Linked DNA regions of Macaca fascicularis. The protein of the gene in region 5 interacts with the protein of the main gene of each other region in a pairwise test. Links are inferred from orthologs where the notes say so. Each region holds a gene or a part of one and is shown on either strand. Other genes may lie near its edges. The genes, in order: HDAC4, TRIM23, SH2D4A, C1H1orf216, CDR2, CHIC2 and ENKD1.

Region 1 (4,017 bases), on a different chromosome or scaffold from region 5:
GCACCCACTCTGCCACACCACACACGGGGACCAAAGCACTCACTCTGCCACACCACACACGTACAGTGGGTGGGCATGAAGCCTCGCCCCCTTGTTGGGTTTGTGGGTCTTAGTTTTGACCAACAGCACTGAATCTGCACACTAAACTTGGGTGAGAAAGCACCCTTGATTCTCAGACTTGGAAGTGCTAGCTCGGCTTCATTTGCAGCCGCTCCCCTCCCTGGTCTCACATTCCACACATCCTCATGCAGGCTAAAAGCAGAAACAGCCCATCAGCTTCCAGGCACCCAGGACCCTTGGAGCCTGGAGCAGGCCTGCTGGTGGGGATGTGCCTCTCTGATGAGATGGGGCTGGGCTGGGCTCTGTGTAGGGAGGCCACTTAGTCAGGGGCCTGGGACACCCCAAGGGATTCTGGGAACAGGCTGAGGTGCACACCCTCATACGAGGCAGAGTGGAGTGGAGGAAGCAGGGCAGAGATGAGGCCACAGCTGCCTAGCCTCTCCCCAGACAGCAGCTGAGGGAGAGCACGGCGACCTGCCACCCAAGCCGAGGCACAAAGAAAGCCGGGCGCCTCCTCGCTGGGAGCTCTGCGCCAATCCTGTCTTAGTTTTGATGAACAAATCCTGTGAACGTGGAAAACCAGGTACCTACATCTCAGCTCCTGTATGAGAGGCGGAGTCCAGCCCTGTGCTGCCAGCACTGGGGGAAGCCAGAGCTGCCTGGCCAGGCTCTGATCTGTCTTGTCTTTAGGAATCAGGCCAGGTGGCTCACGCCTGTAATCCCAGCACTTTGGGAGGCCGAGGCGGGTAGATCACCTGAAGTAAGGAGTTCGAGACCAGCCTGGCCAAAATGGTGAAACCTTGTCTTTACCAAAAAAAAAAATTAGCCAGGCATGATGGCAGGTGCCTGTAGTCCCAGCTACTCGGGAGGCTGAGGGGGAAGAATCACTTGAACCCAGAAGGTGGAGGCTGCAGTGAGCCAAGATGGCACCACTGCACTCTAGCCTGGGCAACAGAGTGAGACTACGTCTCAAAAAAAGAAAAAAAAAAAGGAATCAGAGCCAGGAGGGAGCAGAGAAGAGGGGAGCCCCGAGACAGGCGGAGGAGCTGGAGCAGGAGCTGGAGTAGGAGCCAGCACCCACAGGCCCCCAGTCTGCGGCTAACCAAATTCAGCTGGGATTGCTGTGGGCCCCACGTGGTTAAGCGGTTAATAAGCAATCCTCCCGGACACCGGCTGGAAGGTGTCCCGCCTTAGGTTTACCTCGGCAAATTGCTCCGTGTACTACCAAGTTTCCCTGATAAGGAGTTCTGCCTATTACTCTCCAGAGAGAACAGAAATTGTTTCTAATCATCATCTCACGCTTGGAATATAACAAGCCTCTTTTTTCAAAGTGAACGCCGATCTATGAGAAACTAGTCCTAAAAATTATTAATGTAAATAGTTTCCCACTTCTTATCCGCATAATAACAGCACACTGAATTTCAGACCTTCATCGACTTTCAAGGCCCGACCACAGGAAGAGGCCCCAAACCCGGGCCTGTCAGACGGGACCTGTGGATGAGTGTTCGCCACGAAGCACCGTGTGTGCGCCAGAGAGGCCCGGGGCTTTCTCTCTCTGTCTTTGCCAGGCTGCTGGGCTGTGTAGTGTTTAGTGCCCGGGGTGCTAATTAAGACGGCCCAGAAATTAGAGAGAGGCCGCCCTCTGAACAAAAAGGAGAAATAGCACCCAATGCCCGCCGCCGGGGGAAGCTTGGTAGAGAAGGGCTCCTGGCCCAGAAGCCTCTGGAGACCACTGAGACCTGACCCCCCGTGCGGCAGGCTTGGGTCTAGGTGCTCCAGATACAAGGGCCCACACTGATTCATTCGGTGCCAAGACCTGCAGCTGAGAATTAAAGGGAACAGTTTACTGCAGGGCGTCCTGCTCCTGGCTTCCAGGGTGCTGCTGGGGGTAGAGATGCAGCTCTGGCCACACAGCTGGCAGTCAGGAAGCTGGGGAGGTGCTCAGTGGCACGGCCAGCATGGAGTCCAGAGACAAGGGAGGGAATGATCCAGTGGCTCCTGCAGCCGAGGCAGCAGCTCTGCTGCTGGAGGACAGAATCAAATCCTACAGCTGTGGTTCCTCAGGCTCGCTTCCTGCCTATAGGGAGGAAGCCACCTTTCTGAGGACACTCTGGCTGCAGATACGGGGCTCCAGCTGGCTGCCCAAATGCCTCAGGTATTTCTGTTGACTCAGAAGTTTTATGTTTCACTGGAAATTAACCAATCATTCACTGGCCTTCTTCATCAGGCTCCTGTGCATTTGGTTACTGGGTGTCAGTGCCCTGAAGCCTTACTGGCTCTGGGTGCCACGATCGTACCCGTCTTGTCTGGATCTGCAGGGCTGCTCATTAGCACCACTGGGCCACAAAAGGTCTTGACTTCTGATCAGACCCTGCCTGTCTTTTTGATCAATTAATACCTCTATTTCCTTCACTTCTTTAAAAAGCATGCTGTACCTCACTAACACGTGGATGCTGTGATCATTTACAGCCTACAAACAGGAAGGAAACCCATTCTCTGGGGCCTGTGCATGGCTGGAAAGCAGTTACGTAACCACCCGCAGTGGGCAAACATCTCGAATCCCTAGGAACAGCTGGGACAAAACAGAAGCCACATCAACCTCCCTCACTGGCCAGGACAAGACGGGTGAGACACTGGACAGCGACAGCACAAGGATGCCCTGCAGCTCCCGTGATCACCACACAGAAGATGCCGCCCGGGGACCGAGGGTGGCTGTGCGTGCCAGCCTGCTGGTGCCCTCCCTGCCTGTAGTCACCTGTCTGAAGAGCAGCTCCTGCTCACTGGGCTGGCGCTGGCCCGGCTCCACCTCCCGAGGGGGCTCTGCCTCTTCGTCATCGCTCTCAATGGGCTCCTGCTTCACCTGCACGCCAGCTGGTGCGTGCGCCTCCTTCTGCGCCGGCAGCCGGTCCAGGTAGGGCTCGTCCAGCAGAGCCTGGTGCTCACGGAGCTCCTCCTCCGTCTCCTCTGGGTGACTCTCCGGCTGCCGGGCCGGCTCGCTTGGTTTCGGGATGATCTGCAAGGCAGAGGAAATACATGAAGCACAGAGAGCTGGGGCCTCTGAGCTCATCAGACAGGAGGAGGGATGCTGCCAACCACCCACCTCTGGGGCAGACAATCAGGGACTCAAGGCATCTTATCGCCCTGCCACAGGCCAGCAGGCGCCTTCATCTTCCCGCACAACAGGCACTTGGGCGCTATCCACGGTGCTGAGAAAATAATGCCCATCAGGACCCCAGCCCGGGGTCAAGGTGACCTGGCCCAGGGAAGGAGGCTGACTAACATTTGGGGTTTACTAAGCACCTCTTCTGCGTCAGGCACTGAGAAACAGAAAAGAAGCCGCAGGTGTCAACCGAGTCTGCAGAGGGGAGCCTGAGTGTGAAGGAGAGGCCAATGCTGACCTCATAGCCACAACTGCTGAGAGAAACAGCCACCACCCACCCAGCGGAAGACATCGACGTCCACAATGCTCACTGCCTGAGCCCACTGACACGCCACGGCCTCCCCTCCTGCAGGGTCCCACCGATGTGCCATGACCTCCCTCCTGCCGGATCCTGGGAACACTCCAGGACCTCCCTTCCTGCTGAATCCTAGGGATGTCATGGCCTCCCTCCTGGAATACTATGGACGCTCCGTGACCTCCCTTCTTATGGGATCCCATTGACGTGCCATGACCTCCTCTCCTGCTGAATCCCAGGGATGCCACGGCCTCCCTCCTGGGATACCATGGACACTCTGTGACCTCCCTTCCTGTGGGATCCCACTGACGTGCCATGAGCTCCCCTCCTGCTGAATCCCAGGGATGCCATGGCCTCCCCTTCTGCAGGATCTCAGGGACACCATGACCTCCCTTCTTGCAGGATTCCACAGGTCCTGCATGACCTGCCCCACTATGGGGCCCCAAGAACCGTGGCATCCTCCCTCCTGTGGGACTCCCTAGATGCTCCCTGACCTCATTTC
Region 2 (4,598 bases), on a different chromosome or scaffold from region 5:
TAAATGCTGTATTGAAACTCTAATAAATTAAATTTGTTTATAAACTCCAAAGAACCATATTAAAATTTTGTTTAGTTCATTTCAATCCTGTATCTCTGATCCCACCACTGTACAAGATTTAAAAGAATTTCCTTATGCTGTTACCGTATTTTTCAAAAAGCACTAATAAAATTCCATTGATTAGCAAACCAAACACAGGTCCGAAAATAAAGTTACTAGACTATTTTGCATCAACTTGGTAAATAATACAGCAAGAAAATATTTCCTCAGTATCTATGAATAGGAATTGTGGTTAACAGCAAAAAGCCCTAGATAGGAAAAAGCTCTTAATTTTACATTTCACAAAATGCCAAAACAGCTTCAAACTTATTACATGTAAATCAAACTGTAATCAATCAGATTATATATATATATATTTTTTTTTTCTTTCTTTTTTTTGAGAAAGGGTCTCACTCTTTCTCAAAAAAAAAGGGTCAGCCAGGCTGGAATGTAGTGGCCTGAGCATGGTTCACTGCAGCCTCGACCTCCCGAGCTCAAGCAATCCTCCTGCCTCAGACTCCCAAGTAGCTGGTACCACAGGCATGTGCCACCATGCCTGGCTAATTTTTTTAATTATTATTTGTAGAGGTTGGGTCTCACTATGTTGCCAAGGCTGGTCTCAAACTCCAGGGCTCAAGCAATCCTCCCACCTTAGCCTCCCAAAGTGTGAGATTAAAGGTGTGAGCCACTGTGCCCAGTCTCAGACTAAATTTTAAAAGGCCTAAGAAGACTCACTAAGCAAAAGAAACTGTGATACATTTTTACATGTCAGTTATTTCAAAATATCAGATTTTTTATTTTTTATTTTTCAGATGGAGTCTCACTCTGTCACCCAGGCTGGAATGTAGTAGCACAATCTCGGCTCACTGCAACCTCCCCCTCCTGGGTTCAAGTGATTCTCCTGATCAGCCTCCTGAGTAACTGGGATTAACAGGCCCACACCACAATGCCTGGCTACTTTTTGTATTATTAGTAGAGACAGGGTTTGGCCATGCTGGCCAGGCTAGTCTCGAACTCCTGACCTCAAGTGATCAGCCCACTTCGGCCTCCCAAAGTGCTTCCCAGGCACTTTGTGCTTTACAGACGTGTGCCACCGCGCCTAGCCATATCAGATTTTTATGTTACTGGTTTCTCTAATGATAAAAACCATGTAATTATCAACTTGTTCACAAGCACAAGGCCATTTTACACAGTATTAGCATTATATACTTCAATTTTTACCTTCCAATAAATACTTATTGCTTTCATCTATACAAATGACAGTAAGGTTTTTTTCAGTTTATACCCCTATAGCTACTACAAATTATGGCATGAAGATTTTGTCAGAAAGGACTATTTTATTGCACAGTTCAGGAACATTTTACATGTTAAGATGAAAATGAACAAGGTGAGCCTCTGATGTATCAAATTCTGTGCTGTAACAAACTGGAGTTACATCAGGCTTTGGTACACTTTTGAGACTATAAGGCAAACAGCGTAACAACAAAATAGATACTGCAATGATACCCCTTCCAATTATGAAATAAAACTTAAACTTCAAGTTAATTCACAAAGTACTCTGCAAGTATTCTCTACTTAGCAAAAGCACAATTCAATAAATAAAATCTCAATCACACAACATGCCTAATAACGAGGGCTCTTTTGCGTTATCAGATATGCTGTGCACCTGTAGAATAACTTCATTACTACCTAAAGGTCATCTGAATCAACGACCACCAATACTGACTGATACTAAATTGTGGGAAGAAATGTCTCACTTGCTGTCATACAAAACCAACATTAACTGAATAATCGTAGGTGTCTATTTTTCAAGACGTTAAAAGAACTTCATATATTATCCTGTTCGGTAATTCTTAACCCTGGTTACATATTAAAATAACTTATGGGCATTCCTAAAATCTACTGTTGTTGTCAACCTCATCAGAACTGGAGGAGGAGTGCATCAGTAGTGTACTAAAAATCTTCAGTGATCCTAATATGCAGCCAGGAATGAGAATTTTCAATCTCTTAGATTAGAGATGCTCCCGAAGGTTACTCTATAAAACCAATGAGATCAGTTCTCCCCTCCAGATCTCTCCGTGCACAAGTGTGGAAGGGAAAAATGACTGCCACATATTTCAAATGATTTTTTAGCAAATTCATTCTGGAGCATTTATACATGGTAGAATCTCAAACTTCAAGCATAAGGAAATTCATTAACTCTATCGTTAACGCCCAGCTATGACGATGTTGCAGACTTCTGAAAAGTGTTAATAGACTGTACTACTAACAGGAGAGAGGGCAGCTCAGCCAGTAACAGATGTCTCATTACAGACGCAGTACAATAGGGAAAAGCATAGGCTTTAAAGCCGGTCAACCCGGGGCTCTGCCACACACTGTTTACCTAAACCTGGATTTCCTCCCTGTAAAATGGGAATTAACATCTACTTCATAAGTAGATATTAACGAGCTAAAACACCTAACGTAGTACGTAGTTACGATGACGATGGGCCAATTTATAATACTAAGCTAACTAATGCCTGTTGAGTTTAACTAAAAGCAGAGGACCTGGAGAAAAGACCGGTCTAGGTCACTGGACCGCAAGCTCCTTTTCATAAATGTTCCGATTATGACATGTCATGAGCAGAAGACCAGGCAACTTCAGGCCATAGGAGAGAAAGGATGCAGAGGAGAGGACAAGACTTGTAAAGCCAAAAGGGGCCCAGAGGCCGCGCATCCCACCCATCGAAGCCTGGGCCGTGGCGATGCAGCCAGGTCTCCAGGATGAACCGAAGGGAGGCCAATGGTGGAGAACAGAGCACGCAAGGTCCCTCACCTTCACTACAGCTGTCCCCCGGCTGCCCTGCCGGCCACTGTCTACTCCCGCTCCAAGCTTGTTTACAACCAGAGTAGCCATCCTCGTAGGAGTAGCGCCACAGATGCAGCCTTCAGAGTCCTCAACTGAGAGGCGGGGTTAAGCCACCTACCCAGAGGCCTCTGCGCACGCCACCGGCGCACAGGCGCAGTAGGACACAGGGCGCCGCTTAGCCGACTCTTACTCCTCCTCCCTGCAGTCGTGGGGTACTTCGTTGCACAGCCTCGCGCATGGGCACTTTTGTTATTTTTCATTACGTAGTCTGCAACTGCTGGAGGAAAGACAAGGAAAAAAAAAAAAAAGAAGGGATAAAACAGAATTAAAGTTTTGGGGTGAAACTCCAGCTCCTTTAATGATTTTTCCTCTCGAATCGCAAACCAACCAGGGTGTAAACTGAGGGCGGTGAAGGGATACGGGCATCTCCCTGCATGCAACGCGATTTTCGTATAAACTACAAATCCCAGCATGCCACTCTCTCTTTTATTTATTTATTTTTTTTAAACTCCGGCAAAGTTGGCCTTTGGGAGGCGGCGTATTGTAACCGAGGGGTGGTTTCTTTTCCTGAAGTCGCGATGTGCGATAGCAGATGGAAAACAAAGTGTTTTATGCATACGTTTCTAAGATAAAAGAAATGGACTTGGTGAGAAGAAGCCAGTCTGTAAAGAACACAGTAAGAAAATTTAAGGTACCACCACCGGAGAGAAGTTGAAAGTGCGTTTGACTTCTGGTCTTGCCAAACGCGAGGTTTTCCGTTTCCTTCCGGGCCAAGTTGAACCTGTCCAGCCCCCGTAGGCCGTGGGTCAAAAGTGCTGGTCAAAATGGAAGTGAATCCCCCTAAACAGGAGCACCTGCTGGCGCTGAAAGGTAAACTTTTGCGAACCTGAGTACCCGTTTTCTGTTTTCTTCCCTTCCCTATTTATCGAAGCCTTTGCCATGTAGGCCTCAGCCTTCTTAAACACTGTCAGTGCTCGCCCTCCTGCTCTGTCCTTTGGCGCCAGGCGGGAGGAAGCGATTTCGCCTGGATGCTTTTTAGGTTTACGGGCTCCTTTCTAGAATGAAATAGATACCTGGTAAATCACTCTCTGATCTATGCTGCTTCAGTCACGAGATTTTAGCGGCAGAAGCTGACGTCCCGCTCCTACCGTGGAGATCTCTGTGAACTAAGATGAATTACAGCGGGCATGTAAAGTGCTTTTTCCTTCTGTCTCTCGTTTCTTCCTGTGGCACTGACGAAGTTATCAGGCTTCAGTTTCCCCTGTAAAATTAGTATTGCATAACAGTAGTGCAAAGAATTTAGCAATATATAGTAATACAACATATAACTTAGATTTATTAAAAACAAACTGCAGTTTACTTCAAAGCACTGTGTATGTGGGAAATATGTCCGAGATCTAATGTCAACTCTCATTTTTTGTACACAGCCATTTTGAGTAAGTTTGGTGATTTAATTAGATCTTTATTTAGGAAAAAACAGCAGGCTTTTTTTTTTTTAGGACAATTTTTATTTTTTTTTATTTTTAATGCCTATTTTCTGGAAATCTTTTTATTTGAAATCTTTTCAGCTTTATTTTATTTTTTACTACAACAAATGCACTTTTTGTTTCTTGGATGCTCTAACACGGGGTTAACAATGACTTATTGAATGAGCTGAGGAAATGCTCAATAAACATTTGGGTTCAATTGAATTGCACTTATTTTACTTGTG
Region 3 (4,017 bases), on a different chromosome or scaffold from region 5:
TGCTAACTCAAATAGGAGTCAGGGCTGGGTCACAGGCATAAGCTGGATGCTAACACATCTGGCCTGGTAATCCTGTGTGCTTCTGATTACAAAGTTAAAATGTATTCACTATCAAAAACTTAGGGGAAAAAAATCCAAAACACAGTATTAAATTATCAGAAAAGCATTCAAATAAATAATCTTGAATCTCACCTCTCCAAGAAAACTAATGTTTACATGTTATTATAACCTTCCAGTTCTTTTCCTTCAGATATTTAGACATTTCTAAATAGCGAAGCTTTTCACTCTATTTCATGGTGTTTTTTCTTCCCCAAGCTAATGACATGTAAACATAGTCTAAGATCATTAAACACTCTTCCAAAACCTATTTTCCATAGCTATATATCACGCTATTTGATAAATTACATCATAATTTTGGTGATACAGAAATGGAGAACCAGTCCACTGTTCAAAAGTAACTTGTAAGCATTTGAGTAATAAGTTAGTAATAACATTTGAGTGGTCACTTACTGTGAAGATCTCTCTCAACAACCCACATTAAGTGCTTTCTAGATTGATCACATTATTAAGTGAGAGAATCAGCTGAGAGCCTGGAAGGTGCTACGGAGACCTCTGGGTACTCACGAGATGCCTGCCATTCCGAGTCTTCTTTCCAGTTCTTACAAATCTGCTTCGTTCTCTCTTCGTCTATTTGATTTATTTCTTCTTCTTGTTTTTTCTTCATGGATTCTTTCTTCTGTTTAAAAACAAAAACAAAAACCAAACCAACGAAAACGAACCTTGGTGAGCAAATCCAGCAGTTTCCTGAAGGACGGGGGTACCCGGCACAGCTGATTTCTAACTAACTCTCTGGCCCACTAGGGAGGATCAAGTGTGGACTTTGGAGTCAGTAAGACCTGAAGCTGGATTGACCATTGCTAGCTAGTGTGTAACTCCAGGAGCAACAACTGAACCTCTCTTGGGCTGTTTCCCCATAAGAAAGATGAGAAGAAAATATTTCTCAGGGTTATACTGAGGATTAGATAACTTAAGAAGTCCCTGGCACAGTGTATAACATATAATAAGAAAAAATATTCCTTTTCCTCACAGTACTTAGCTGTTTCAAATTGACTCCCTGAAGAAGCATGTAAACACACTATTACATAGAGCCAGCGTCAACCTACTTTATAGTAGCTGACAGTCCCCATGGAAGAAATGCACATTTCCAGAGCAATCTCAGCTCAGCTGAATCTCTCCCCTCGAATCATGTGTCCCAGAATGTGGTACTTACTACATGATTTTACGTGGTTTAAAAGAAATATATATTATTATTTTTTAAAGACGGAGTCTCACTCCATCGCCCAGTATAGTGGTACAATCTCGGCTCACTGTAACCTCCCCCTCCCAGGTTCAAGTGATTCTCCTGCCTCAGCCTCCCGAGTAGCTGGGATTACAGGCACGTGCCACCACACTTGGGTAATTTTTGTATGTTTTGAAGAGGTGGAGTTTCACCACGTTGGCCAGGCTGGTCGCAAACTTCTCACCTCAAGTGATCCACCACTTCAGCCTCCCAAAGTGCTGGGATTACAGGCATGAGCCACCACACCCTGCCAGAACATGTATTTTTTTGTTTCAAAAAAAAAAAAAAACCAGAAAAATATTTTTCAAAAGCATCTTTTGAGAAAGGGAAAAATATTTTTAAAATGTGAATATTCCTTTAAAAGGCGAATTAGGTTTTTTAAAAAATTGCAGTAAAATTCCATATAACAAAAGTATAGCACCTTAACCATTTTTAAGTGTACTGTTTTCCGGCATTAAGAGCATTCAAGGAAAATCATTTTAAACGAAAGAGAAATGAACAAACCAAATCACTTAGACCTGAAAAGTACTCTGTTTATTTGGACACAAGCTTCTGAGTGCTCACAAGAAGACTGAATTTACAACTTGGAGAACTAATAAAAGCCTTGGTTAGCTAAGTAATAAAACAAACTGAAACGGCCAGGAACGGCTGCCTGTGCCCACCTCTCTATCACGAGTGACAGGTTTTTTTCTTTTGTGCTTTCCCATAGAAATATAAAGACTTCCTTGCTCTAATGTCACCACAACGTAAAATATAAACGTTAATGTTGTGAAACATGTTTCTGATCGCTGTGGGCAGTCATAAATCGCAGTTTAAGTAATCATCATTCATAAATTGTGCTTCACTGCAGATGTAACTAAACCTCTGTGCATTTACTGTTTTTATTTTTTTCCTTACGTTGTTTTCCTGCCTAGAGCTAGCTCCTTTCATTTGCCAGCATTTTAAAATCCAAAGGACAGCTTTGATGTTTGAAAGGACTGTTAAGATTTGCCATCCTTTGATTGAAGCTGTCTGCAAGCCCAAGATACATAAATGTGCTGCTAGCAATTTCTAAGCTTAAACAGAAGAAGCTTAAAAGTGGAGCTTTGTTCATCCTTCCACATGCATACGTGTTTATTTTTAAATGATTAGGAAACATATAGTGAAAACATCAAGCTATGATCATCACAGATATTGTTGCTGAGGATCAGCAAGAAGTTTGGAACATGATTCCACTAAGAAAAAATATTAGTAACAGATGTAGTACTTGGTTGATGTTACTCAAATGTCTAACAGTGCTGTATTTAATAAATCTACTCCTTTAATCTGCATGTAATTATGTACAGGCACAGTGGAAAAGAAGAAAAATTCATGAGTTTCACAGAGTAATAGCAGATGAGATCTGCTGTTAACTCATCTATATACGGCCCTGACCACCGTATTTATTCAAGAAAGCCAGAAAACGTAAGGAACTTGTCCTGAGTCCCTCAAATAATTTGACTTTTAGCAAAATCTGTAATGCTTTACTTTCTCTATTCAGAAGACCATCATTTCCTTTTCAGCAGTGTTTTGCTGGAAGCATGCTGGTCCAGGACTCAGGACTCTGAGCCAGGCATGGGGAAATCCAGGTGATGGCTTGGAGTGGAGAGGTAGAGGGGCCAAGGCTGGATGCTAATCCAGATACCCAGGGTGGAAGGTGTGGAGACCCAGATGTGTGATGTGAGCTATGAAAATGTGCTCAGCTAACAGGACCAGAAAATGAGGCCACGCCGGGCCCATACAGAAAGCCTCTTATCCAGCCTGTTGATGGAAGCACTTAGAGTGACTCGCTACCAATTCCTTCATCAGAGCCTCACAACGCCTCCAAAGCAGGATGGCTCTGTTTTATCACCGTTGTTCTACAGAGAAGCAAGGTGGCTCATTCATTCTCTCAAATGATCAGCCCTTTCCTGACCATGCCAAGTGAGTTCCTGCCTCTGTGTCTTCGACTTGCTGTTCCCTCTGTCTGGAAGAGACGTCCACATGGCTTAGACATCCACATTGCTCCTTCCCTCTTTCCTTCAGGTCTCTGCTCCAATACTGCCTTCCCAGAGTGGCCTTCTCTGACTACCTGTCCCATCCTAATTCCATCCTCCCAGGATTCCTCAGTTCCCTGGTACTGCTTTATTTTCCTCTGCAGCGCTTATGATCACCTGACCTCACAGATATGTTTATCATCTCTCTCTCCCATGAAGAATATAAGCTCCCTGAGGGCAGGAATTTTATCTAATTTTTTCATAAAATGTGTCTCCAACTCCCATAATAGTGCTTAGTGTATAGTAGATACTCCATAAATGTTGCTTGGATCAATATACGATCCTTTGTCTTCCTCAGCTGTCCCCATTTAAAATGACATAGTGAGATCTAAGCAGAATTAATGAAAATGTCCTTTAGATCGCCTATTGCTGCTATTTTAGAAAGAAGTACATATTATATCAGCAGTATGCATACAAGGACTACAGTTCCACAACTTCGTCCTGATTTCTTAAAGTCTCAAAAAAGCAAGTTCATGCATGTCCCTGCAGAGGAATCATGGAATTCATGACATGGTCCACAGGAAAACAGGTCCCTGGGCTGACCTCCGCTGTAGCCCGATCTCAGGAACCTTCTCTTCACAGGCTCACATCTTACAATGCTGTTTCAGACTCTCTGTAGGTCAA
Region 4 (4,479 bases), on a different chromosome or scaffold from region 5:
CACAGCCTGGGCCACTGAGGGCAGAAGGGGATCGGGAGGGCCAAGGCCTCGCGGGGTCCCACAGGCAGGCTCAGGACTGCTGCTAGGGCTGTTGATACTCAAGGAACTGCTGGCATAGCCATTGTCCTCCAGAGGGGAGCAGACTGTGCCAGGACCACCCATCTTCTCAGGCTCAGCCCCGGGAATCTCTGCCCCCTCTGGGGGGCTGCGCACCCCTTCCTCAGGGGATCCAGGGGCCTGGAAGGCCTGGTTGTCAGAGGGCGACTCAGAGGAGCTCCTCCTCAGGATAGGTTCCACTCTGCCTGGCATCCCATGCCAATTCTCATTAGCATCCTTGGCACTTGCCATGAAGTTGGAGTTGTTGTCTGGTTGGAGCTCGGGCTGACATACTCCAGGAGGTGGGTCCCCCAGGAATTGGCCCCCCTCAGCTAGCCCTGGCTGGATGGCGAACATCTGGTCTGTAAAGGGAAAGCAGGAGACTGAGTCACAGTAGGACAGGGTGGGGTGCCTGAAGTCAGGGCAACTTAGCTGCAGGGACAAGGCTGAAAGCAAGAGCCCGACCACTCCCTGTCAAGCCCTTTCTCTTGACTCTGGTGACACTTCCCCTCACGGTTTTCGTCCTCCCTGTCTACCTGTTCATTCTCAGTCTCCTGCAGAGGGTTTTTCCTCAGTCCTCAGAGCCAGGCTGTCTTCTGATTTTGCACATTTCTCTCCAGAGGACCTCATTCTCTGCTGTAGCTTCAAGGTCCATCATATGCTGATGACTCTCAGATCTGTCTTCAGCCCAGATCTAACTGCTATCCAACCCTGCAACCAATCATAGGCTCCTCAAATTCTACATAACCAGTCTGGGTGCGGTGGCTCATGCCTGTAATCACAGCACTTTGGGAGGCCGAGGCAGGCAGATCACCTGAGGTCAGAAGTTCGAGACTAGACTGGCCAACATGGTGAAACCCCATCTCTACTAAAAATACAAAAATTAGCCAGGCGTGGTGACAGGCACCTGTAATCCCAGCTATTTGGGAAGCGCTTGAACCCAGGAGGCAGAGGTTGTAGTGAACTGAGATTGTGCCACCACACTCCAGCCTGGGTGACAGAGTGAGACTTCATCCCTCTCCACCCCCCGCCCCCACCACCAAAATTCTATATAACCAAACAAGCTCTCCTTCAGTATCCTCAGCAAGATGGCTCCACCCTCCATCCAGAAGGCTAGGAGCATCCTGGGCTCCTCACTCTCCTTCCTTCTCCCATCTCATTGATAACCACATTCTGACCATTCTTCCTCTTCCAGGCCATTTCTGACCTGGATTATTGCCTCGGCCTTTTCACTGGTCTCTCTGCCCCCAGTTACAAATGTAAATTTCACTTGTCACCACTCAGAATGCCCTCCCTGAACTCCTGCTAAACCTCTATGTGGCCTACAAGGCCCTGTTTGATCTAGCCTCTGCTCACCCTTCCACACCTGCCTTTTGCCACTCTGTCCCTCCCATCATAGCAAACTGCCCAGAGATCTCAAAACACACCATTGTCCTTCTTACAGTATTCCTTTGGCCTATAATATCCTTCCTCTCCCCTCCCCTCAAAGCTCCTCCCTTCTCCACCCAGCAAATTCCTTTTTGTACTTCAAAATCAGCTGTAATATCCCCATATCTCCATGTACCCATGTCTCTGAAGCTGTCTTGATACTGCCGCAATCAATATTACATAAACAAGCACGGTTAGTTATGCCTTCCTCTGGGTCTCCACTGCCCTGGGTACACACTGTCTTATCCAACTTTGTGTCTGTCCCTGGCATACATGGTCGACGATCAGTGAATGTCTATTTAACTGGCAGTTTTGGTTTGTGGCAATGATCTTGTAATAGCAGTTTGTAATCTAGCTTGGACCTCCCCTATATATCCTCCATCATATTCCCCAGAGTCAGCCAGCATAGAGCCCGGAACCAGGCTGTCTGTGCATACTGGTACTTGCTAAGCGAGTGAATGGGAGAAGAGACTGCAGTGAATTTCCATGCTCAGGAAGCTACTCCCGACTCCCCCGGGCTGGAAGAGCTGGGTTCAGTTCCCTCTCCTACCCCAGCCAGGGAGCCCAGCCTTCCCCAGTGACAAGCTTTTCTTCTGAGCCTGCCCACTTCCCTCCCAATGCCTCTGGAACACGGCCACTATCTTGTGTCCCTGTCCCTAGCTTGCTCCATCCTGAGGCCCTGGAGGGCGGGCATACCACACCACTCTTCTCTCCTCCATAACCTGCTTCTAACCAAAATTAGGATTTGAATTGACAAAGGAATTCTACTGACCAAACAGCACTGGGATTAGAACAATTTAAGAGCATGAAGAGGAAGGATATTGTAAGTGGAGCCGGCACTGGGAGGCGCACCATAGGTGGCATGGACCCTCCCCACCCCCAGCAACGGGCAGAAGTCCTGGGGAGAAGGGTGTAGGAACAGTTCCTTTGTAATCGCCCTCTAAGCAAGGCTTGTGGGAAGGTGCCTACAGATCTCCCCTCGCCCCAATTTTTAATTTTTCCTATACTTGGATGGGGCCATGAAGGAAGCTGGGATGGGGTAGGGGTGGCGCTAGGGATCACAGGGTTCTCAGAAATAGTAAAATAGGAACCCCGACACCCCAGGACTAGGTCTCCGCCCAAATAGGAGGCAGCCTCCTTTCCTGGCCTTGCGGGAGTGGGAGACCACCCCAGGAGGCAGAGACCAATCCTTCCCTAGTCTCCTCGGAGGCCGCTGTGACTCCCCGCTTCCCGCGGCTGGGCCCCAAGCCCCCCGCCTCCGACTCACGGCCTAGAGGCGCCCGATCCGGCGCGTCTGGCTATGGCTCCGCCCGGCCCTGGTGGTGTCTAGTCCCTGGGCTGGGGGTTCCTCGGCCTGGGCGTCTCCGCGGTCCAAGGGTGGGTGCGGGGCTCCCGGGCAGCGCGCCCAGCCCCAGGTCCGGACTGCGGAGTCAGGCGGCGTCTGCGCGGCGGGGCGGAGCGGCCCGGCCCACGTGGGCCGGTTGGGTTTTCCGCGGAGCCGCGCGCTAGGCTCTGCGCCGGAACCGCCTCGCCCCCGCGCGGGGCCGCGTTGAACCAGGCCTTTCAGGTCCGGTGCTCTCTCCTATTGGCGTTCGCTGGGCCCTTCCCATCAGTTCACCTCACTGCAGACACCGTGCCATTTTCAAGTGAAATCTGATTAGTCACCACCTTCCGGCTTTAAACTCCTCTATGACTTCCCCACAGCCGGGACAACCCCTAAGGCAGCAGCCGCGGGGCTCTGCGCGTCCGGCCCTCCGTCTGCCTCTCCGGCTTTGTCCTCTACCCTCCCTCTCCGCAGCTACCCTCCCGCACGCCCCTTTCTGCCACGCGGCTTTGGCACGCACGGTTCCCTCGGTCTAGCAGTCTCTTCCCCCTCTCGATTTACTCCTATTTCAGCTCTCTCCTCGGAGAAATCTCTGACTCCCTAGATCGCATTCGTTCCCCCTTGTATGTCAGGGCACGTTCCTTTTCTTCATAGCATTTATCACAATTTGGAATTATATATTTCTTTTTGTGCTACTTGACTAAAGTCACTGAGACCGGGCGCGGTGGCTCACGCCTGTAATCCCAGCACTTTGGAAGGCCGAGGCCGGCGGATCACCTGAGGTCAGGAGTTCGAGACCAGCCTGGCCAACATGGTGAAACACCGTCTCTACTAAAATACGAAAATTAGCTGGGCGTGGTGGCGGGCGCCTGTAATCCCAGGTACTCGGGAGGCTGAGGCAGGAGAATCGCTTGAACCTGGGAGGTGGAGGTTGCAGTGAGCCAAGACTGTACCACTACACTCCAGCCTGGGCAACAGAGTGGGACTCTGTCTCAAAAAAAAAAAGAGAGAGAGAAAGAAGAAGATCCAGCCTGGGACAGGTCCCAGGGCTGATGTCCTGTACCTGGGATGGGGGCTCTCCACAGGACACAGAGCCCGTCCATGACACCTGTGCAGTGGGCACTAGTGCTTTTGCCCAGGTGAGGAGGAACAAGGTTATAAAAAGGGTCCTGGCTTCCAAACTCTAGTGAATTCTTCTCAGAGCTCCACTCTACTGAAGCTTGATCCCCCTCTTTTGCACCCTGGGGAAATGTGAAGTTGGGGACCCTGTTTGGAATAAAAGAGAACAGAGTTTAGTAATTGCTGACCCTAATATATAAGGTACCCTCTTCCAGTTTCAACTTGATTGCAAGTCACCATTCTGCAACCTAGATACTAATTGGCAAATTGAATCACACCAAGAAATCCTATATGCAAAAACAGGGAAAATGGAAAATAAATTTTTATGATTATGATGACTATTTTAAGAGGGAAAAGGAAATAAGAAGAAGGCAGAAGTAATTCAAACTTTGCACACTCCTCCAGCTAAGAAAATACAGGTGGAGATGTCAGCCTCATTTCTACATCAGATCCTGTGGCCTAAGTTCTCTCCCTTCCCTTATCCACTTCAGGTTCCCCTGGCCTTCAGCCTG
Region 5 (4,017 bases):
TTCCCCTTTAGTGTGAATTTGAGAAAGTGATGAAAGATTTACATGTTCACGTATCCTAAAGGCTAGAGCTTTCAATAAAAACATTAGAATGTAGGGGCGGAGGCCCTCTAGGGCGTATGCTAACAAGCTAACTTGGATCAAACAAAAATTTGCCATCTCAATTTGGTATTCAGTTTGATTTGGATATATTAGGATTACCTGTCAGTCACAGTTCAACTAGTTCAGATACAACAAAACTCAAGCATTTGGAGTATTTGTTAATGACATTTCTTTTGGATCAGACCCCTGCTTTCTCTTGAACATTCTTCTTAATGAATTCACAGTATTCAGTGTTTGCAAAAGATACTTGAGTTTGACAGCCCTCTGACTTTACATCGTTTTGAGAAGTTGCGCAAGGAAGCAATAGGAACTGCCTTAGCTTTGTGCCAACTCGGCCCTTCTCCCCCATACTGTAGTAACTCCAGGCCTACTTCTCCAGTAGTATAGCTCTTCCCTCCACTGGTCCTTTTCAGGAATTGAAGTCTAATCAGTGCGCCAGCCAGAGGCCAGTTTGTCATGGGATTTCCTGGGGAGCTTAAATGGAAGTGGATCAGAGAACTGATACCAGTAGCCACCTCCTTTCCTCGTTGTATGCATTTGCTAAATAAGCAAAGCAATGAGGCAAATGTCACAAGCAACATCAGGCTTCCAAGTCTACAAACACTTGTCTGAATGAGAGAGGTGATAGGCAATAGGCAAATTAGTAGTAGAGCTAGAGGTTCAATTAAGAATGAGAGGAGAGTGATCGGTATTTTGTTCTCTGTTCATCTATTTCCTGCTTAGTTTTCTTGATGCAACTAAAGATCTCCTTAAACAACGCTTTGTATTCTGGAGGTGTTGTAGGGGAACTGACGGGCTCTGGGTTGACAGAGGCCAGTTCCCAGCCGCTGGCAACAGGCTCAGACTGGGCGTTCACTCCAGTCAGGTCCTTGGCCGGAGCCCTGGAGGTCTGTACAGCCTTGTGTGACAGGGAGTCCTGTTCCTGTTGGCACTTCTTCAGCAGCTCTTCATACTTCACCTTCAGGGCACTGTACTGTGTGTCCACTTCGTGCAGAAGGGAGATGCCCCTCTGTTTCACAGCCTTGGCCCTCCTGATGCAGGTCTCCTCATGGCCCTTCACGATGTCACTCCCTGCCAAGCTGCTGAGGATCGTCTCACTGCTGCTGCGCTTGAGAGGCTTTCTGTGTGGTTCCGGCACAGTCAGGAACATCTCTTCCAGCAGGCTCTGGCTGGGTTCTTTGAAAGGAACAAACAGAGAGTCTGGCACCAGCTTCTCAACCCCATTCACAAATGGATGCTCTGACTGCAACATCTGTCGCATCTCTGCCACCTCAGCCTCTAGTTCCAGCGCCCGTGCTCGGTAGGCACCTGTGGCCCCCAGCTGCTGCTCCAGTTCACTGTTCTCCTTTAAAACCAGCCCATATTCCTCCTCCATAGTCACCCGCTTCTGCCGCTCCAGGCTCAGCTGGGCCTGCAACATTGTCACCGTTTTTTTCAAGTGCTCATTTTCCTCTTCATCAGGGCTTGGCTGACTTTGCAAGGAAGTGATCTTTTCAGCGAACACATGATCATACACGAAGTGTCTAGGGAAAAAAATATTGAAAGAATGTATTACACAGGTCCACTGAGAATGAAGTGAGGAAGACTGGTGATTTTTTTTCAACTAAATAAATTTGAGGAGCTGTGACAGTGACTGATTTTTTTTTCTTTTTTTTTTGAGATGGAGTCTCACTCTGTCGCCAGGCTGGAGTGCAGTGGAGCGATCTCAGCTCGTTGCAACCTCAGCCTCCCGGGTTTAAGCAATTCTCCTGCCTCAGCCTCCCAAGTAGGTGGGATTTTAGGCATGCGCCACCATGCCTGGCTAATTTTGTATTTTTAGTAGAGACGGGATTTCTCCATGTTGGTTAGGCTGGTTGGTCTCCCAACCTCAGGTGATCCTCCTGCCTCGGCCTCCCAAAGTGCTGGGATTTACAGGTGTGAGCCACTGCACCCGGCCGACAGTGACTGATTTTTAGCCACACTGGAGCAGTGGCTAAAATGGAACTGTGTGAGGCTGGTAAATAAACACATGAAAGCAAACTCAGTTTTTGCGATGAATCTTTTTTTAATGTTGAAAGTACTAAAGAACATCTATTCCCAAAGACTGGCAGTATGCCAATGACCTCACAAGGGAAACCTTAAAAAGTACTGGTGCCTGGGTCCCAACCCACAGATTCTAACCTAGTTGGTCTGCTACCCGGCCTGAGGGTTTCTAAAGGCTCTCCAAATGATTCATAATACATAATTACGATTGAATCACTACAGCAAATTACTGTTGCTGTGGTGTTTAACCAGGAATGTTCATCAGAATTGCCTGGGCAGCTTTTTACCCACACCCAGAAATTCTGATTTAGGCCTGAGGGAATGTGTTGGTATCTGCATTTTGAAAAACTCCACAGGTGATCTGATGTGCAGCCAAAGACCCACCAAATGAACCACCTGATTTCTCCTGCTCAGTCCAAGGCACCTTGCTTGACTATTTATTTGTGTTTTTATTTGCTTATCTGCCGTTCTGTTAGACTGAAAGCTCACAGGGATAGGAACTCTATTCTGCTCACCAGCCCTCAGGTCTGGCATAGAGCTTGCCATACAACAAGTGTTCCACAAATACTTCTTAAAGATTCAGACTTGTAACTCTAAATTATAAAGGTACTTCTTTAAGCAAAAAATCTTGTTTGCTTGAATTTTTGTTTTACCAATATTTCTATAGTCTATCAGAAGTCATTCATCTTAAACTATGATTTAACACATTAAAAGCCCTGAAATAAGTGCTCTAAGACTTTCAAAATAAGAATTACCAATATATAAGAACTGTGTAATTTCTATGTTTAAGTGATTTTGTTCAAAACCAATGGTAGCTTAATAGCTAAGTGACATTTCTTAAAATGGTACTTTCAATCTACTGGAATTCAGAATGTGCCAATGACATGAGACAGTCCCTGCTGTAACTCCACAGACAGGTAGGCTCTTACTGGCGGAGATCATACAGCTCCTTCAGACATGCAAAGCTGGGTGCCGGTTTCTCCTGGTCACACTTCCCCTGGCTCCTTCTCCCTCGGCCAGATGACTTCAGCTCCTCCACTTGGCTCTGCAGGTGATCAATGTTGGTTTGCAGGCATTCAATCGTTTCAGTCAGGCTGTAAGGAACAGACAGAAGCCATTGCTGCTTGTCATACTGAATCAAGGGCAAAAGCGGTGAGGAGAGATTAGATGCGAGCCACTCACATTGGGCTTTCTTAATTGGAAAGGACATCTATTTAATCTCCATTCTCCAGAAAGAATTAAATTAAACTTTATCCCATATTGACCTAAACCCACTGCAGCCATGTTCTATTCTAGTTTATACTAAAGAACTTCCCTCTAGGCCTTCCTTGTCAGATTCTAGAAAATTTACCTCAGAATCTTTTGCTGTGAGGCCTTGCTGTCAGCAACTAGTTTTTGATTTGTTTCTTCCAGTTCCCTTGCTGTGACATCTAATTGTTCATAAACCTTTGCATGTTGTTCGTTCATCTGCCGTAGAAGCTCCACTTGCTTGGTCAGATACTGTAAGAGAAGATCAGGACCAGGTGACACAAACAGATAAGATACCTGCTGTTCCTTGGCTGGCCATGGTGGCTCATGCCTGTAATCCCAGCACTTTGGGAGGCCGAGACATACGGCTCACCTGAGGTCAGGAATTCGAGACCAGCCTGACCAACATGGTGAAATCCCGTCTCTACTAAAAATACAAAAATTAGGCAGGTGTGGTGACACATGCCTGTAATCCCAGCTACTTGGGAGGCTGAAGCAGGAAAATTACTTGAACCCGGGAGACAGAGGTTGCAATGAGCTGAGATGGCGCCATTGCACTCCAGCCTGGGCAACAAGAGTGAAACTCCATCTCAAACAAAGAAACAAACAAAAAAAGATACCTGCTGTTCCAACACCCATTCTCTGATT
Region 6 (4,017 bases), on a different chromosome or scaffold from region 5:
TGTTATTGATCAGAACAGGGCTTTGGTCGATGGACCTTACACTCAAGTGAGGAGACAGGCCATGCCTTTCAAGTGCATGCAGCTCACTGATTTCATCCTCAAGTTTCCACACAGTGCCCGCCAGAAGTATGTCCGACAAGCGTGGCAGAAGGCAGACATCAATACAAAATGGGCAGCCACACGATGGGCCAAAAAGATTGAAGCCAGAGAAAGGAAAGCCAAGATGACAGATTTTGATCGTTTTAAAGTTATGAAGGCAAAGAAAATGAGGAACAGAATAATCAAGAATGAAGTTAAGAAGCTTCAAAAGGCAGCTCTCCTGAAAGCTTCTCCCAAAAAAGCACCTGGTACTAAGGGTACTGCTGCTGCTGCTGCTGCTGCTACAGTTCCAGCAAAAAAGATGACCACCGCGAGTAAAAAGGCTCCAGCCCAGAAGGTTCCTGCCCAGAAAGCCACAGGCCAGAAGGCTGCGCCTGCTCCAAAAGCTCAGAAGGGTCAAAAAGCTCCAGCCCAGAAAGCACCTGCTCCAAAGGCATCTGGCAAGAGAGCATAAGTGGCAATCAAAAAAAGTAATAAAGGTTCTTTTTGACATGTTGGCAAATGTATTTAAGCCTTTGGATTTAAAGCCTGTTGAGACTGGAGTTAGGAGGCAGATTGATAGTAGGATTACAATAAACATTAAATAATCAGTTCCTTAAAAAAAAAAAAAAAAAGTTTCTAAGTCTAGTGACTCATCGTTCTTTTTCAGAAACTGTGTCTTGCTTGATATGACCTCTAGATTTCAATACTTCTACAGATTAGCTGTCTGGGCCAGGAATCTTCATTTTCACTTTTCAGTTCTCCTGGGTTTTGATCTGCCTCAATAAAGAAGACACACTTCTATACCTGGCTCAAAAATATTCCTGTCTTACTCTAGGTATCCTGCACTAAGCCTTAGCTGTCACATTTGCCACTCTCCTGACCTGTGATTTGCCTACAAAATATTCACTAGCTCCCTGTTAAAATATTTTCTCCCAACTAGCTTCTTCATTTGGGCTACATTTCCCTATCTATAAAACAAAGGCATCGAACTAGATGACAAGATTCTTTGCAGCTTTAAAATTTGACAATTAAATGTTTAAACTACTTAAGAGTCAGCATTAAACAAATTCTTTTGTATTTCAAATATGTCCTCAATCAGTCTTTATAATTTTAGTCCCCAGTTGTGGGCATACCCACACTTTACAATATATACTATTAATACATAACATAAAATAAAGGCTATCTTTGCCTACATTTGAACTATTAGTTTTTAAATAATACATCCTACAAATTTTTCCTTCAGAAGCCACTTGTCTCATTTATTCTAAATCATCTGTCTCTACCATATCTGAACAAAGAAAAGTTAGCACCAAGGTGGTGTGTGTGTATATATATATATATTTTTTTTTAGTATTTCCAATGTTCAAATTTAATCAAAGATAATTATTTTCTTTTAACAAAATGAAATTTCTTTAAGTTAAAGAAAAGTTGAGGGAAAGAGGGACAAATGGTTAAAAAGGCCCAAATTCATTAGATAAAATGAATTTTATTTGCTAGTTTAACTTTTAAAATTCATTTTAATGAATTTTTTAAGCTACATTATTCTCACTTTCAACTATCAAAAATATATATACTCTAAGAAAATCTAGCAAAACACATTTTTCCCCAGCATGCATATATATATATATATATATATATATTTTTTTTTTTTTTTTTTTTTTTTTTTAAAGAGAGGCAGGTATTGCTATGTTATCCAGACTGTCTTTGTACTCCTGGACTCAAGTGATCCTGCTGCCTCAGCCTCCCCAGCTAGACTATTGGCATGCCCACTACACCCAGCTTTTTCCTAGCAATTTAAATATTTATTTTATCTTTACTACTCTTCTGGATATCTTCTATGATGGAGTGAAAATAATATAATGGCTTTAGTAGAAGTGCTTAATTATCTAAAAATTCAAGGAAACTTATTTTACAAACAAAGCATATAGTTCAGAATGTTTTGGAAGGTTAAATTACTTTATGAATAAATTATAGTCATACAGTTCTATCTGGAAATCATAGCATTGGGACAACTTTTATGTTTTCCTTTCCAAAGTAAATTTAGAAATGCACAAAAAATTAATAACTTAGTTTTAAGCTTAGTGTTTGTGTTACAAATGTAGTAACTTTTTTTTCACCAAATTCTTTACATCTCCTATCCATCCTTCTCCCCAAAATATGTACATAAACCCTCTTACTATCTAAGATGAAAATACAAGACTAGTATTCTCACCTCAAAATGGGTTACTCAAATGTGTTACGATTATAAAGAAGTATCAGGTGTCTTTCTCATCATCATAAATTAACATGTTGACATAATAAAGATAAAATCTACATTATTTGGTTCATTGAATAAAGCTAGTCTAAGACATTTTAAAAATATTTTTTATGTTCAAGGCTAGAAATGGGATTTGACTGTGTGATAATGAAAGAACAGGAAAATGCTAACAGAGAAAAATGATTTTATGATAATTTACAACAAAACACTCTTTTAATCAATATTTTACACATACACACACACACATCTATGATGGCTATATTGTTTTAAAGAATAGGCAAAATTCCTCAGAAATGTTATAACAGATACTTCACAAAGGCTCTGAGTTTTACTTTCAACAATTAATTTTTCCTTAGATCTTTTTCTTCTAAAGTAACAACCTGGCCATATTTAAAGTACAGTACTCAAGCTCAAAAGAAAATTAAAATTCTTAATTTTCTAGAATATTCTGAAATTTTCAAAAGGAGAAAAACTGCTCAAGTAAATCATGGAGTCAGTAAATTAAATCCCATGCTGAGTAAGTACAAAATTCATTGTATATATATGCCAAATTAGATATTTTTTAACAAGTAAACACAAGATGATCAACATCTCATTTCCTGCTTACTTTTAATTTTTACAAAGCGATATTCTAATAACACTTTAAAACAGATTCTTTAAAGGGCACTGAGGTACGGACAGTTAAAATCTATAAAGGCTAAAGGTTTCTTAAGCTCCAATGGCTTGGCTGAAAGGTTTTCTTCCATACTTGGAAACTTGATTAGCATTATATAAAAAAGCCATATCTGACTTGCTGCGTAACCAAAGTTGTGGTTATTCTTTATACAGCATCTAAAATTTCACACTCCATCAACACATGTTCAGGCTATTTTATCTTGGCAATTAATTTATTATTTTTCAGAACACAGTGAAGCCTTGTTTTCAAGTCATTCATAACTTTATAAATCAGTCTTGCACATGAAACCATGCATCTGTGAACCGTAGAAAATCCTTGCACTCAGGAGATTAAGCTCCTGACACCTTTGCTGATTAATAATCATGGAAAGAATAAGATCAGAAGCAAAATAAATGATCATTTAATAGAGAAACTCACAAAACAGCCCTTTAACTTACATATTCCATCATGTTATTCGTTTCACATTTCCTTTTGCTCAGTCTCCAATGCAAGCACAGCTAGACAAGTAGGAGAGTAAAAGAAGAAAAATGAGCTCTATTTTATTGCAGCACACAGACTAACCCATTTGTCCACCTTTCATATTTTTAGTTCAACAAAAGCATCTGTTTCCATACTGTGCAATTCAGACCCCAACAGTACGAAGCTGCTCCCTGTGGTACTCACCTTGTGGTATAACCTATTGTTTTCCCATTCTAATAACTTCTCAATCGATCTTCGTGTCTGGAAGACAAATGAGAAAAAAGTTTACTCTTGACTGGTTTTAGAAAACTTTGTTTTGCAGCTGCTTTTTCTGTGAAAAGGGAAGAGGTGTAAGACAGTGACTGAGTATAGTGTGGTGTGCATCACTATCCATTTTCTAAGCACTAAATGGTAACCTGAACACAAAGAGTTCTCTTTCTTTAAAAAGATATGGCTTTATTTCTATCATATGAATCTTTTTTTACTAGCCTCTGATTTAAAACTATCAAGGTTTAAAAGCTAATGTCATCTGCCAAATAAAATT
Region 7 (4,550 bases), about 42 Mb from region 5:
CCTTTGCATCCGTGTCCCTCGGGCCCTCTTCCCTCTTCAAGAGACAGTTGTCCTCATCAGCACACAAACGTGTGAGTACGTCACATTTTTAAGAAAACAACAGGCCGGGCGCGGTGGCTCAAGCCTGTAATCCCAGCACTTTGGGAGGCCGAGACGGGCAGATCACGAGGTCAGGAGATCGAGACCATCCTGGCTAACACGGTGAAACCCCATCTCTACTAAAAAATACAAAAAACTAGCCGGGCGAAGTGGCGGGCGCCTGTGGTCCCAGCTACTCGGGAGGCTGAGGCAGGAGAATGGCGTAAAAAAAAAAAAACCCGGGAGGCAGAGCTTGCAGTGAGCTGAGATCCGGCCACTGCACTCCAGCCTGGGCGACAGAGTCAGACTCAGTCTCAAAAAAAAAAAAAAAAAAAAAAGAAAACAACAAACCATCTCTCCTTCCACCTCAGTACTGGCCCACCTACCACTCTCTTTCATCCTTCCTAGCCAAGCTTCCTGGCTCTAGCCCCGCAACGTTCCTGACGGCTGGCCTCCAAGTCCTCAAATCCAGGCGGTCACTTCCTTGGTCTCGTTGTCCTCAACCTGATCGTCAATAACTCCTGGGTCTCACTCCTGAGATCCAGGCCTGAATTTCCATCTGCTTCCTGGACACACTCCCACCCCCTGGGAGCCCCACAGATGCTTCAGCCCAGACACATTTGTGTGACCTTGCCTTTCCTCTCACTCCTGCTCCTCCTGCTGAGTCCCTGGATGGAAAGATGGTGCTACTCTCTACCCGAGACAGAGCCCCCCACCATACCCCTGCCCTTCCCACTGTCCTCAGAAATAAGGACTGAAAAGTGGCTTTTGTGGCCCCTGATGTGGGCCCAGCTGACTTCTTGGCCTAACTTCACGCCTTTCTTTCCTCACAGTGAACTGTACACCTGGCATCTCCACTGCTGCGTGCCCTGTGGTCTGTGAGTTTCCATCTTTTGGGAATGTTCTCCTCTGCTGTCCCCTTGACTAACTGCTGCTTGCCCCTGAGGATCAGCCCCGCCATCACCACTTCTGAGAAGCCCCCCAGCCTCGCCCTGCAGCAGAGCCAGGGTCTCTTAGTTCCCTCCCTCCCCAGAACTCGGATCAGGGTATAGCTGCCTGTTGGCCAACAAAAAGGATAATACTTCTGGCTCCCTGGAGCAGGTACCTGGAGCTGGGCCTTGACCTGGGACTCCACCTTATCGTACTTGGGTGAGCGCCACAGAGCTTTCAGGGGCCTGGGCTGTCCATGCTCTCGGCTGCGCTCCTGTTCTCTGAAGCGCTTCTGAATCTCCCTGATCCGCCTCAGGTTCTCCTTCTCATGGTCTTTAGGGTCCTTCCCTGGAGAAAAGATGCCACCAGTCTCTGCCCTACATAGGGCCCACACAATCCAACTTCCACTAGTTCACACACAGGCCTGCCCCCTGCCTCCTACAGAAAGAGTTCCCTTCCTCATGTAGTATTTCAGGATGACTGTCTCCATTATTATTATTACTATTTGAGACAGTGTCTCGCTCTGTCACCCAGGCTGGAGTACAGCGGCACGATCACAGCTCACTGCAGCCTTGACCTCCCCCGCTCAAGGGATCCTCCCACTTCAGCCTGCTGAGTAGCTGGGATTACAGACACACGCCACCACGCCAGGCTAATTTTTGTATTTTTTGTAGAGATGGGGTTTCACCATGTTGGCCAGGCTGGTTTCCATCTCCTGGGCTCAAGTGATCCGCCTGCCTGGACCTCCCAAAGTGCTGGGATTCCAGGAGTGAGCCACTGCGTCCGGGTGATTTTCTCCATTATTATAGTGAAGTATACCATAGATCATCTCATATATGACATTCATCTCCTGTTCTTTGTCTCCCACCTTGACTCAATGATGGCTCATGCTTATCTTCAACCCTGTGTTCTAGCACCTATATGGCCTGGCACACAGTGGGCACTCAACAAACAAATTTGACGGGTAATAAATGCACGAGCAGGCTGGGCGCAGTGGCTCAAGCCTCTAATCCCAGCACTTTGGGAGGCCGAAACGGGCGGATCACGAGGTCAGGAGATCGAGACCATCCTAGCTAACACGGTGAAACCCCGTCTCTACTAAAAATACAAAAACTTAGCTGGGCATGGTGGCGGGCGCCTGTAGTCCCAGCTACTCGGGAGGCTGAGGCAGGAGAATGGCGTGAACCCGGGAGGCGGAGCTTGCAGTGAGCTGAGATCCGGCCACTGCACTCCAGCCTGGGCGACAGAGCGAGACTCCGTCTCAAAAAATAAAAATAAATAAACAAACAAACAAACAAACAAACAAACAAATGCACGAAGCAGAGCTAGGGCTTCGTGGGAACTACCTTATTCAGTTCACTTCCTTCGAGAAGGTAGCACATTTCTCCCCCTTTTATAGTTGGGGAAACTGAGACTCAAGAGATGCAAAGCCTGGGCCCAGGTCAGGGCGGAAAGAGCAGCTGCTTTTGATCTCTTTCCACCCCGCATTGCCTCTCTGCCCCTTCTTCCATTCCTGGGACTTACTCTTAAGAGAGGCCCCAGGACCTAGGGAGATCCCCTCGAGTTGCAACAGCACGTCCCCGACGCCGCGCCGGCCGCGCTCCAGGATCTCTCGGGCACCGGGACCGATGCGGGGGCCACAGGGAGCGGTGGCGTCCAGGGCCCGGTCCGAGGTCAGCAAGTCCAGCTTCAGCGCGTTTCCCTCGAGGCGCCCTTGAGCTGTGGGGCGGAGCCGGGCGGAGTCCAGGACTCAGGTGGAGTCGGGGCCGACCCCTGAGCCTAGCACCACCGCCAAGCCCGCGGACTCACCCGAGGCCGGCCGCCGGTAGTAGTCAGGGCAGAGCGTCGGGTCTGGGGGGATGGGCCCCGAGATGCGGGACGGGCCCTCGCACATGCCGCCGGCACCGCCCAGCAACGGTGCCCCGAGGCCTGCAGGGCTGTGCACCTCCCTCCCCGGGCCCCCTTCCCCAACCCCGGGCCTCCTCCCTCGCCTGGGACCCTGACCCTGGCGTGCCCGTCACTCCCGGGCCCCTGCCGGTCCCTGCCTGGGCCCCGGCCTCGCTCGCCGCCTCCGCGACCTCTCCCCCCAGCCCACTTCTCGGTCCCGCTCGCGGCCTCTCCCCCGCGGCACTTGGGCAGGGGCTCACTCGAGAGGTTTTGCCGCCAGCCGCTGCCACCCGACGGGAGTTGTTGTTGCCGGGCAACCGTGGCTTCCGTCCCCGGGGTCAGGGCCCACTGACCCTGGCGCAAAGCGTCCTGGGGCTTGTAGTTTCCGCTGAGTGTGGGCTCCGCGGTCGCGGGTTTCGCTTCCCAGCTCTGCCCTCGCTTGCTGGCCCGTCTCCAGGGTCAGCGCGGGGCCACCATCCAGCCGCTCGGGGCCCTCCCCAAGCAGCTGTGGAGGATGCACTGAGCCTGCGCAGCCATGGCCTCGGCAGGGGCGGAGAGGCGGCCGGGGGTCCAGGAGGCTACGGTCGTGGGGCAGGGACAGCTCGCGGAGGACCCCGGCAGCGCTGAGACCTCCGAGGTGACCGTCAGGCTGTTTAACCTTCAAACAGGGGGCCGCAGCACTCTGAGAGGCGGAACTCTGAGCGCCCCGACCCGCTAACTGCCAGGCTGGGCCCTCCAGGCGGGGAGGGGCACAGGCTGGTGTCCTTATTCCCGTTTCGGTGTCTAATGTTAGGTGTTCAGTGACGGATCCCTATGTCCTTTGCCCGACCATGGTGACCGATGGCCTGTGTGTCACCTCTAGTGTCCAGTGGCGGAAGAACATTTCCTGGTGCCAGCCCATGAGGCCCGCGGAACCCAGGGTGAAGACCAGCGCCCAGCAGGCGCAGCTTCGGAGCTGGAGCTCCAGGAGGAAGGACCCAAGCTGGGGGAGGAGAGGCCCAAGCCGGAAGCCGGGGCGCTAGAGGAGAGAGGCCCCAGGCCCGTGGTCTCCATTGTGAGGCCCCGTCATGGTCCAAAGAGAAAGCCTGTCAAGTGAGGGGGCTCTGGGGGAGGAGGAGGGGAAGGAGCTGCAGGCCCGGGGTTGGGGCACACACCCCAGTAGCATTCCTGATTCCTGCACTCCTGCAGGAAGGATTCTTGTCCCCTGTCACTACCATCACTCTCCTCTCCCGTTCTTCCAGAGCCCCCATGTAGGGAGCAGCAGGAGAGTGGGAGCTTCAGGGTTTGTAGGGCACTGGGCTCACTGGCCTCTAAGCCTCTTGGGCCTGGGGCCTCATCGACCAGGAAAGGGGCAGGCGTCGAGTCCTGGGGCGGTGGGCAGGCTGGGGTATTCCCTGCGTCAGGTCTCTTGTCCCTGGCTCAGGTCCCTCAGCCTCCCGGGCCTTCGTGCCCATCCCAAGGCTGAAGCTGAGCTGCCACCCAGGCTGCCGCTGCAGGAGGAGGAGCCAGAGGGCAGCCAGAGTGAGCCCTCACCATCTGCCAAACAGCACAAAAAAGCCAAGAAGCGCAAGAGCCTGGGGGCTCCCGTGCTCCACGCTGTGGCCAGCACGGTGTCTGCACCCTTAGAGACATTGGGGCTGGAGCGTGAGTGGCAG

The links.
Region 1: the proteins of CDR2 (region 5) and HDAC4 interact in binary tests that used the Homo sapiens proteins (3 or more experiments, as listed by UniProt). The two-hybrid records come from large-scale screens. The link is inferred for Macaca fascicularis from reciprocal best matches to the Homo sapiens genes CDR2 and HDAC4.
Region 2: the proteins of CDR2 (region 5) and TRIM23 interact in binary tests that used the Homo sapiens proteins (3 or more experiments, as listed by UniProt). The two-hybrid records come from large-scale screens. The link is inferred for Macaca fascicularis from reciprocal best matches to the Homo sapiens genes CDR2 and TRIM23.
Region 3: the proteins of CDR2 (region 5) and SH2D4A interact in binary tests that used the Homo sapiens proteins (3 or more experiments, as listed by UniProt). The two-hybrid records come from large-scale screens. The link is inferred for Macaca fascicularis from reciprocal best matches to the Homo sapiens genes CDR2 and SH2D4A.
Region 4: the proteins of CDR2 (region 5) and C1H1orf216 interact in binary tests that used the Homo sapiens proteins (3 or more experiments, as listed by UniProt). The two-hybrid records come from large-scale screens. The link is inferred for Macaca fascicularis from reciprocal best matches to the Homo sapiens genes CDR2 and C1orf216.
Region 6: the proteins of CDR2 (region 5) and CHIC2 interact in binary tests that used the Homo sapiens proteins (3 or more experiments, as listed by UniProt). The link is inferred for Macaca fascicularis from reciprocal best matches to the Homo sapiens genes CDR2 and CHIC2.
Region 7: the proteins of CDR2 (region 5) and ENKD1 interact in binary tests that used the Homo sapiens proteins (3 or more experiments, as listed by UniProt). The two-hybrid records come from large-scale screens. The link is inferred for Macaca fascicularis from reciprocal best matches to the Homo sapiens genes CDR2 and ENKD1.

What each region holds. Positions count from the first base shown.
Region 1 is NC_088386.1:135,022,266-135,026,282, forward strand, and holds part of HDAC4 (histone deacetylase 4), read right to left. Parts: intron 3,074-4,017; coding exon 2,816-3,073; intron 1-2,815. UniProt on the Homo sapiens protein: Responsible for the deacetylation of lysine residues on the N-terminal part of the core histones (H2A, H2B, H3 and H4).
Region 2 is NC_088380.1:71,319,060-71,323,657, forward strand, and holds the start of TRIM23 (E3 ubiquitin-protein ligase TRIM23), read right to left. Parts: upstream 2,982-4,598; 5' UTR 2,936-2,981; coding exon 2,855-2,935; intron 1-2,854. Other genes in the region: TRAPPC13 (trafficking protein particle complex subunit 13), read left to right, coding at 3,712-3,757.
Region 3 is NC_088382.1:22,425,826-22,429,842, reverse strand, and holds part of SH2D4A (SH2 domain-containing protein 4A), read right to left. Parts: intron 737-4,017; coding exon 625-736; intron 1-624. UniProt on the Homo sapiens protein: Inhibits estrogen-induced cell proliferation by competing with PLCG for binding to ESR1, blocking the effect of estrogen on PLCG and repressing estrogen-induced proliferation. May play a role in T-cell development and function.
Region 4 is NC_088375.1:199,233,541-199,238,019, reverse strand, and holds the start of C1H1orf216 (UPF0500 protein C1orf216 homolog), read right to left. Parts: upstream 2,970-4,479; 5' UTR 2,792-2,969; intron 808-2,791; 5' UTR 633-807; intron 459-632; 5' UTR 454-458; coding exon 1-453.
Region 5 is NC_088394.1:21,335,412-21,339,428, forward strand, and holds part of CDR2 (cerebellar degeneration-related protein 2), read right to left. Parts: intron 3,622-4,017; coding exon 3,473-3,621; intron 3,216-3,472; coding exon 3,051-3,215; intron 1,623-3,050; coding exon 764-1,622; 3' UTR 1-763.
Region 6 is NC_088379.1:79,881,141-79,885,157, reverse strand, and holds part of CHIC2 (cysteine-rich hydrophobic domain-containing protein 2), read right to left. Parts: intron 3,735-4,017; coding exon 3,678-3,734; intron 3,512-3,677; coding exon 3,452-3,511; intron 714-3,451; exon of another isoform or gene 1-713.
Region 7 is NC_088394.1:63,699,509-63,704,058, forward strand, and holds the start of ENKD1 (enkurin domain-containing protein 1), read right to left. Parts: upstream 3,211-4,550; 5' UTR 2,903-3,210; coding exon 2,818-2,902; intron 2,728-2,817; coding exon 2,533-2,727; intron 1,357-2,532; coding exon 1,184-1,356; intron 1-1,183. Other genes in the region: C20H16orf86 (uncharacterized protein C16orf86 homolog), read left to right, coding at 3,963-4,539. UniProt on the Homo sapiens protein: Microtubule-binding protein which regulates microtubule organization and stability. Promotes the stability of astral microtubules and facilitates the proper orientation of the mitotic spindle.